Bombyx mori: one gene and its partner. The protein of the gene in region 2 purifies or fractionates together with the protein of the main gene of each other region. This does not show direct contact. Links are inferred from orthologs where the notes say so. Each region holds a gene or a part of one and is shown on either strand. Other genes may lie near its edges.

Region 1 (4,718 bases), on a different chromosome or scaffold from region 2:
AACAGTGTGAAAATGTACCATCTTTTTTTATTGATCCGTCCATTAGACACGCAAATGCATTATAGGCCATACAGCTAAGTATTCCAACATTTCCAACAATCGTCGAAGACTTGTCCGTTAGATACTGAATCTGTGGCACACCATTATGATATTGACGAACTTTTTGGCGGGAACGCGAGGAGCGATTTGTTTTATTTTGACAAATAGTCAAGTCAATAGTGTTTCTTCAGGTTTAAATGTACACATTTAACGGTGGTTTATTAACTATTTAATATCTGTGAAAGTGCACAAATGTGGGAAAATTAAACAAAGCCGCTGGACGAACTTCTCGGGATCCTTCAAAAAGTCCACTGCAAAAATCTCAGTAAATGACCACCATTTTACTGATAATATTTCATCCCATATCATCTCATTTATTTAATTTCATAATACCATTTTTTATATAAAAAAAAGTTTTCATTAAAATTATAATATCGCTCAGCTGGCAATCTTTTTTTTTTTTTATAACAACGAGAGGCAAACGAGCAAGACGGGTCACCTGATGGTAAGTGATTCACCGCCGCCCACGGTCACCAGCGTTTAAGCCAGTGCGTTGCCTACCCTTCGTGTATACCTCACACATAAATGGGCTGAAGCCTTGGAAAGCAAGGGCGAGGCTCTCGCTGTGAGCTTTGACATCGCGAAGGCCTTCGGCAAGGTCTGGCATAGGGCACTTCTATCGAAGCTTCCAGCTTACGGAATCCCTGAGGGACTCTGCAAGTGGATCGCTAGCTTTTTGGATTGGACGGAGCATCACAGTTGTCGTCGACAGCTGCGTTGTACACGAGAGGCGATTAAAACTTGTGTCTGAAGTGGAGAACTCTCTGCGGCGGGTCTCCAAGTGGGGTGAACTAAATTCAGTTCAGTTCAACCCATTGCACACACACACACACAGACACAGACACAGGTTTGCGCGTTCACTGCGAAGAAGGACCCTTTTGTCATGGCGCTGGAATTTCAAGGAGTGCCCCGCAGCTTTCCGCGAGTATCGGGATTCTGGGGGTCGATATTTCGAGCGATGTCCAGTTTCGGAGTCATTTGGAAGGTAAAGCCAAATTGGCCTCTAAAATGTTGAGAGTCCTCAACAGAGCGAAGCGGTATTTTACGCCTGGGCCGACCTCGCGTGGAGTACTGCTCTCACCTCTGGGCCGGGGCTCCCAAATACCAGCTACTTCTATTTGACTCCATACAGAAACGGGCTGTTCGGATGGTCGATAGTCTTGCTCTCGCGGATCGCTTGGAACCTCTGGGTCTACGGAGGGACTTCGGTTCTCTCTGTGTTTTATACCGTATGGTCCATGGGGAATGCTCTGAGGAATTATTCGAGATGATCCCCTCATCTCCTCTTTATCATCGCACCTCCCGCCATCCGAACAGAGTTCATCCATATTATCTGGAACCGCTGCGTTCATCGACAGTGCGTTTCCAAAGATCTTTTTTGCCACGTACCATCCGGCTTTGGAATGAACTCCCCTCCACGGTGTTTTCCGAGCGCTATGACATGTCCTTCTTCAAACGAGGCTTGCGGAGAGTACTTTATGGTAGGCAGCGGCTTGGCTCTGCCCCTGGCATTGCTGGCGTCCATGAGCGACGGTGACCACTTACCATCAGGTGGGCCGTATGCCTGCCTACAAAGGCAATAAAAATAATAATAATAAGACGACTTAAAGGTCTTAGTTACCAGGTTATAAAATCCTTTTAAAAAAAAGTAGCTTCTTATGTACCATATAAAATTACAATATTAATGTATGTATGTATCGTTGGTACCTGCTTGAGTACCGTATCTTCTTTATTTTATTCTAAAACTTCAAAAGTTGAATATCTTGAAATATGTATTATGTAGTAAATCAGTAAATAATTAATCAGTTAAAGAAACAGTTGACGACAGACTAGACAGATTACATTTCGTTTAATATTTTGACGTGATTTTGACTGAACCTATTGTTAAACCAGACTGTGCTACAATTGCTTACCCAAACCTACGTTATACAAAATGAACCATGTGGCACGCAACGACGACAAACCACCATATTCCAGAATTTTCATAGTTTGCAGCAAACAATACCGCGAACACGACTTACGACCGTTTTTTGAAAAGTATGGCGAAATTGAAGACATGTACCTACCAAGGGACCGCAACACAGGCGAGACTAGAGGTATCGCTTACATTAAATATGCTAAAACATCATCAGCAGCCACTGCCATAGAGGAATTACACATGACTACCTTACTTGACAATCACAAACCCATCAAAGTTATGGTCGCCTCTGACAAAAATGACTATCAAAGTAACAGTTACGACAAATACAGAAGACTATTTATCAAAGTTCCCAAAACGATGACTGAGAAAGAAATTCGGCAATATTTTTCCAGTTATGGAAAAGTTGAGTCAGTGCGTTTACAGAGAGACAAATTGACTGACGAAAGTAAAGGATTTGCTTATGTGAATTTTACAACTTTTTCGGAAACTGCGAAAGCGTTTGAGCAGTGTGATAAAACGTATAAAGCTATTTTTGCCACACCGAAAGATGAGCTTAAAAGGCCCAGGAACAGTTTAGAAGGACTTGACTGCTATTCCAGTAATTCTAATCTAACTAAATCTCATGTTTATGCTGATCACGGCCATCATGTTAACGATGAGTTTAATAAAGATTATTTGACATTAATTTCAAAGACTAAAGAACAAGACTTTGACACTGTGTCAGTTAAATGCACACCACCAGTGCTACAAAAACACCTTGAAAGACTGTTTAATATTGTACCAGGAATGATTGAATTTAAATACACTATGGACCAAGGTAACCGTGTTTGTCGAGCATCAGTTACATATGACAGTCAAAAGGCAGCAGCTTATTCTGTCGAAACTATAAATAATTTTGAATATCCATCTGGAGAGGTTATCAGTGTTAAACCTGACATTAGCCCACTCACCAAAGCAACTTCTACCTTGAATAACATAGTTAATAATATTAAAAACTCTGTAGATGGAAACCCAAATCTATTGCAGCTTGCAGATGCCATAGCACAGGCTTCCTCGTTAATAAAAACAGCTACAATTGGAAGGAAAAGCCCAATAGATGATAAAGATGATGGTTTCTGTAATGTATGTCTTCCCCCTATAAAACCCTTGGCTAGCAGTAACTGCAGAGTCGCTCAGAGATGTTTCTTAGTCTTTAGACCCCATCCACCTCCCATGGCAGCTTTGATGAATGCTTTTTGTAGATTTGGTGGCCTCATAGAAATAACGACATACCCTAACAAGAATTTTGCTTTTGCTAAATATGATTCAGTGAAGTCAGCACAGGAAGCAATTAAAACTCTAAATGGTGCAACTTTATGTGGGGTGAATCTGAAAGTGTTGGAGGCTGAGGAAAAAAATACGAAAGAGAAGATGTGTGTTGACGATGATGATGACATAGAGAGAAAACGGATGAAGTTAAACAACAAAGACTGACAGTTTTGTAATTGTAGTAAATTAAAATTATTTTTTATGATATTTGAAACTGACTGATTGACCTCTTCTTCTACTTCATCATTCCCTCGCTGCTGACGATCGCGACCACATGTCCTCATTTTAGCACATCATGTGTCACCCCTCATAACTGCTGTTAAATGTTTATTACAAAGTAGCAAGTATGTCAATTTGCAAAATAAAATTAACAATTTTTTTTTGTTGCTTAGGCGGTTGGACGAGCTCACAGCCCACCTGGTGTTAAGTAGTTACTGGCCCATAGACATCTATAACGTAAATGCTCCACCCACCTTGAGATATAAGTTCTAAGGTCTCAAGTATAGTTACAACATCTGCCCTACCCTTCAAATCGAAATGCATTACTGTTTCACGGCAGAAATAGGCAGGGTGGTGGTGGTACCTACCCGCGCGGACTCACAAGAGGTCCTACCACCAGTAAATTAGTACTGTTAGTCACCAAAAGGGGGGAAATAAATATCTCAATGGACACCAATAATATATTTTATGAAAGTGACACAAACAAGAATGTAATTCATAACTTAAATAAATAAATTAAATACTGATTTTTTTTATGAATTCATTACTAGAACAAAGATTTCAGTGTCGAACAGCATTTTTTTTTAATTCTCGTATAAGAGTACTATTACTTTTTTCTCCAGGAGATTTAATATCATTTGACGAAATCCATAGACATCACAAGGTATATGTCCAACACTAAAAATAGAGGTTGAAATCTCAGTTATATTGCTTCGCGGTACCTACCACTTAATGAATCCAAATACTCACTAGAGAAATTTAACTATAATAACAGATGTACATACTCGAACTGATGCAACGATAAGCAAAGTTCTGGATCGGGCAAGTATCGGCACTTAAGTCCGAATCTCGCACTTTATCGGGACAAATAAATAATTCTCAATGGCATACAACGCACGTTTAAAACCCTGTTCATTTAAAATAAGTTAACGTTCTTCAGCGTTGCAACATCGAGGCACTGCTCAGCATGGGGCGAATGCGGTCATTCTAGCAGGAGACTTTAATTAACAAGGTGACTTATCCGCACACTATACACTTTGTTCGCCACCAGTACCCAGCACCCCACCCTAAAATAATGATTTTCGACCGCATGAATAAGGTTGAGGAAAATATGAAGGAATTGCAACTTAAATAGGGTCACAAAAATACGACTAGTTCGGGCAGTTGTGTT
Region 2 (4,639 bases):
TATTAGTTTAAAGCTTAAAATATAGTTTGTACTTCATATACTTACCGAAAGTAAGATACTGCGGCCGTTAAATTGCTTTTCGGGCATTATTTTTGCAACTTTTGAATACACACTGCGGCATTGCGAGACGAGTTGACATTGGCTGTGTTTGAAGTGGTCTAAACAAAATAAGAGCTCACATTTCAAGTGAGCTGTTATTTGACGAGACGGATTTTCTGCACCGACCCGAAATCTGGTTACTATTGTTGATCGAAGATTGCTACAGATTAAAATTGATCTATGCAACTGATGTATATAACTGATTTTACATTGATGTTCATGGCATGGAGCTATTGTTTCCATATAAGCTTTTTAAAGATACAACAAAGTTTTAATGTAATTCAATTTGCACAGTCAGTATGAGAATCATAGTTCAATTATTAATATAGATGTTTACTGTTATGGTATAAGATTATGAAAATATGAATTTGAAATTCAAGTCAGAATGCTTAAAGTCATTGATCATATTCAATGGGAATAAAAAAAAATTATGGTAAATAATGGTTTGAACTGTTAAATTTCAGATGATAGATCGAGTGGCTCTAATGATCGTCCATGCACAGTTTTGATAGCAGAATGGATATACACCCGCACAAATCCTGGCAAGAATCCAGAGATTGTTCCAGGTGTTTTACTGGATTGGCCTGTGCCAACTGTACAGAGGCTCTGGTTTGGGTGAGCTTGTGTTCAAAGTATTTTTTAAATTTACTATAGCTAAATGTAATCTGTAATTACAAATATTTTTTTAAATATTTATTTTAGAACTGCTCCGGATGATAAATGCCGTAGAATGAGAGCATATCTTTCCTGTATGCGCTCAGATACTCCTCTGATGTTGAATACTACTTATGTGCCCCAGCACTTGCTCATACTGGCAACTGTATTGAGGTAAATTTTTATAAATTTTTTTTTTGAAGATAAGCAGATTCAACTCTTCATTGTATGATATTGTTTGTTTTCATATTTAATGCAAATATGTCTATATTTTAGATTTATAATGACATCTCCAATTCAAATACTACGAAGGCAAGAGCTGGATGCATTTTTAGCTACTGCATTTTCGACAGATCTTATGAATGCACTACATTTGCAAGAAATGAATGTAAGTATTTAGATAAACTACTGTTTGTTCAGATAGTATATTCTACTATCTGGATATTCTACTATCTGGTCTGTATAAACTATAGTAAAAGCTTGTCAAGAGTAAAAAGAGTAGATATTACTCACATACCAAAATTATTACTTTGTAACCCCCTGTTCTGAGGATACTTTTGCTTAAACTCCCAAATGACGCTACTTCCCTTACGTCTTAAAAATATTTGTTTTATTGGCGAATGAAATATAAATAATGTATATTATGCGATTATTTTTAAATCGTTTGATAAATATATCAAGGAGCCAAACGGTGGGGTTCACCTCCACCCTATTAGACAAAAGCTTGACTGCCTGACTCGACTCCTGGATTGCCTACAAAGGTCAATAAAAAAAATTGAAAAAACTCAAACTCAAATGAAAATAAGTATTATTTAAAATTACAAAGATAAAAAAATCGTAGTTAAGTGTTAAAATATAAATGTTTCAAGAAAAAGACAAGTACACAATATTAAATGTCTATTTTCAATTTTCTACAGCTTAACATAAAGGCACAATGTGACTTTTTCCCTTAAAAATAGGGAGCAAGACCAAATATTTCTCTTCCTGCATGAAAAAATATGTTAGATGAATTAAAATATCGCGCTTAAATATTTCAACTATATATATGTATATACAGATATTGATATACAGTAATCATAAACATTCACAGTGCTCTATTATTAGTAATAGCCATTGTGATCTATTTTAGGAAGTTTTAGGTCATATTTATAATATTTTTTACAAAAATTGGTATCTTACAGATTTTTATCTATTTATCTTGCTGTGTTCCAATCTCATCTGTCTTAGCAAAAAATGTTTAAATTGTTTTATTATTTACACAGATCAATGCTATCAGTTCCCGGGGCGTACAATTAGGCGCGCTGGTGATGGCGGGCGTGGAGGCGGCGCTCGTGGCTAATGACGCTTGCGGTGCTCCTGTACCATGGCTCGTAGCTTCACCCTGGCTCTACTTCGATGGCAAGCTGCTGCAGCGAAACCTCCATCGCGCAGCACACTGCAAACATCTTCCTCAGCTTTGCGATAACAACCTCGACATCGTCGTCAAGGTAATACGATAATATCGACTTGCTTTATCTTAAATTCTACAAGTTTTTTTTGTTTTTTTTTAAGTTATTTTGAGTAGCTTTGTAGTTAATTGAATGTATTTTTTGTTACTGCTGAGTCCTGCCCTTCAAGTCCCTTTTTATATCCTGAGACTTTTGCAGTTCTATTAATCTAATTACTGGTGGTAGGACCTCTTGTGAGTCCGCATGGGTAGGTGGTACCAGCGCCCCGCCTATTTCTGCCGTGAAGCAGTAATGCGTTTCGTTTTGAAGGGTGGGGCAGCCGTTGTGACTATACTGAGACCTTAGAACTTATATCTCAAGGTGTGTGGCGCATTTACGTTGTAGATGTCTATGGGCTCCAGTAACCACTTAACACCAGGTGGGCTGTGAGCTCGTCTCCATAGTATTCAGTACTGCCGAAATATTTTAGAACTCAGATAATCATAGATATATTTATCTCCAGGTTGAGCGCATGCGAAAGGCGATCTTGGAAGGTCTGGAGGTGGAGTTCGCGATGGCGCCGCTGCCGCTCGTGGCGGGCGTGCTAGGGAGCGACGGGGGCACGTGGGGCGCGAGGGGGCGGGGCCGCGGCGGCCGGCTTGAGATCGCGGGCGTTGTCGTCGGACAGTGGGGCGGCGGCAGCTATCCCGCACGCGCTCCGCCCAGATACCAACAGATGAGCGCGCACACTGTAATTCAACTTTACTTTTCACTAGTTTATGAATGTATGTTAAGAATTAATTTAATGTATTTTTTCTTTCTACCTAAGCTGATGATAGCCTTGAGTTGAGAGGCTATGTCAGCGTAATCTAACAAGTAGGTGAGCTCACGAGGCCTTAATCTGACGACGTTGCTAACACTAACCCTAGCAAAATTTATTGTTAATTATACAGAGTACAAGGGATACAAGGGAGCTAAATATTGAATTAAAATTGGCTGTATAAAACTACTGGGTGTTCACACTTTTGCATATAAACTGCTTAGACACAAGCACCACCATCGTCCACAGGATACCATGAGCACTAGTGCATGCATTTCTGATATCGCACTTAATTTTAAATTGGGGCTCGGCTAATCCGACGCCGGGTCTGTATCGTTGTGTGTTATTTTTATGTGAAAAGACAAACTCGTACATGACAATGGTGCATGTCATCAGAAAATCCACAGCATCGTAAATTATTTATAAAAAACTGATTATTTGGCCCACTTCCTAATGAAAATTGTGGAGGTTGTAATTTTCTTGCATTGGAGCTAGTAAAACAAACTTGGTCTTGATGCTAGGTGGGCTACGTTGGATACACGCCTCCGACTCGGAACTCGTACGGAGGTCGCGGGTGGCGCGGAGCACGCGGGGGTCGCGGCCGGGGACACGCGCGCCCCTCGCGCCGCCCCCGCCGGGACCCGAACGAGCCCGCCAAACCAGCCACTATTGCCGTTAATGGGTAACTTAACCATACCGTAGATTGGGGGGAATCGGGACCCTTTCCAAATCCAACACAAATTTTCAATGGTTTTTCTTAGGGTAATACCAATAAAATTGAGATTAAAATAGTTCCGGGAGGCTTAAATTCTTATATACGATACATAGTTTATTACAAAATATACACAAAAACTGAAAAAACTTGCTTGACCCGATTCACCTTGGCTTTGGGGTGAATCAGGTTACGTATGGGGACAATAGAGTTTTTCGATAGGGCTGGCACTATTTAGTTGTTAGATAGGTACCTAACTTTAGGTAATTAACTTTTTAATATCTTTAATGAGTTACAAAACATGATGACTAAATTAAACTATTTAATATCTTAAGTTATTTAAATTCTTAAGCACTAAATGAAAGTCATTTTCAATTCTACAAACTTAAATCTACCAACTCAAAAAAAGTATTGTGACATACCAGATTTGTTCCTATTCTAACTCAAGTCTCTATTCCCCCCAAACTACTGTACATTATTATTTCTGTATATCCATATTATTATCATATACTGGGTTGTCAGTATCATATGATGTTTGTGGTGTAATTTATAAAAGTAGTGAACGTATTTGATAAAAAAAAAAGTATCTCGACTTGAAACTTTGCGGTCTATCAGTTGTACAATTTAAGCTCATACTTCATCGTCTCCATAATGTAGAAGTAATATTAAGCTTATTTATAGCATAGATTAATCCTTAGGAAAACCGTTCGCCCGGACGAAGTTCACCACCAGTCAGGTGAATCAAGTCCTCAAGATGAAAATACTGCTCAAGAAGGTGAAGCAGAAGGTACGGACAGAATGTACTTTCTATAATATTATTTGCTCTTTATTGCATATAAAATATTTTTTAACCGAAAAATAAGAAACTGATTTTAAGAACTATTTTTTATTGGAATTTAGACAAGATAAAACAATTAAAGAATAGCA

Evidence for each region. The genes of interacting proteins can lie anywhere in the genome.
Region 1: the proteins of constitutive coactivator of PPAR-gamma-like protein 1 (region 2) and RNA-binding protein 45 purify together in Homo sapiens (co-immunoprecipitation; 3 studies listed by BioGRID and IntAct, with this or other methods). This does not show direct contact. The link is inferred for Bombyx mori from reciprocal best matches to the Homo sapiens genes FAM120A and RBM45.

Annotation. Positions count from the first base shown.
Region 1 is NC_085121.1:997,862-1,002,579, reverse strand, and holds RNA-binding protein 45, read left to right. Parts: upstream 1-1,739; 5' UTR 1,740-2,032; coding exon 2,033-3,493; 3' UTR 3,494-3,546; downstream 3,547-4,718. UniProt on the Homo sapiens protein: RNA-binding protein with binding specificity for poly(C). May play an important role in neural development.
Region 2 is NC_085128.1:7,954,071-7,958,709, forward strand, and holds part of constitutive coactivator of PPAR-gamma-like protein 1, read left to right. Parts: intron 1-563; coding exon 564-714; intron 715-801; coding exon 802-927; intron 928-1,029; coding exon 1,030-1,141; intron 1,142-2,015; coding exon 2,016-2,240; intron 2,241-2,703; coding exon 2,704-2,931; intron 2,932-3,521; coding exon 3,522-3,682; intron 3,683-4,410; coding exon 4,411-4,499; intron 4,500-4,639. UniProt on the Homo sapiens protein: Component of the oxidative stress-induced survival signaling. May regulate the activation of SRC family protein kinases. May act as a scaffolding protein enabling SRC family protein kinases to phosphorylate and activate PI3-kinase.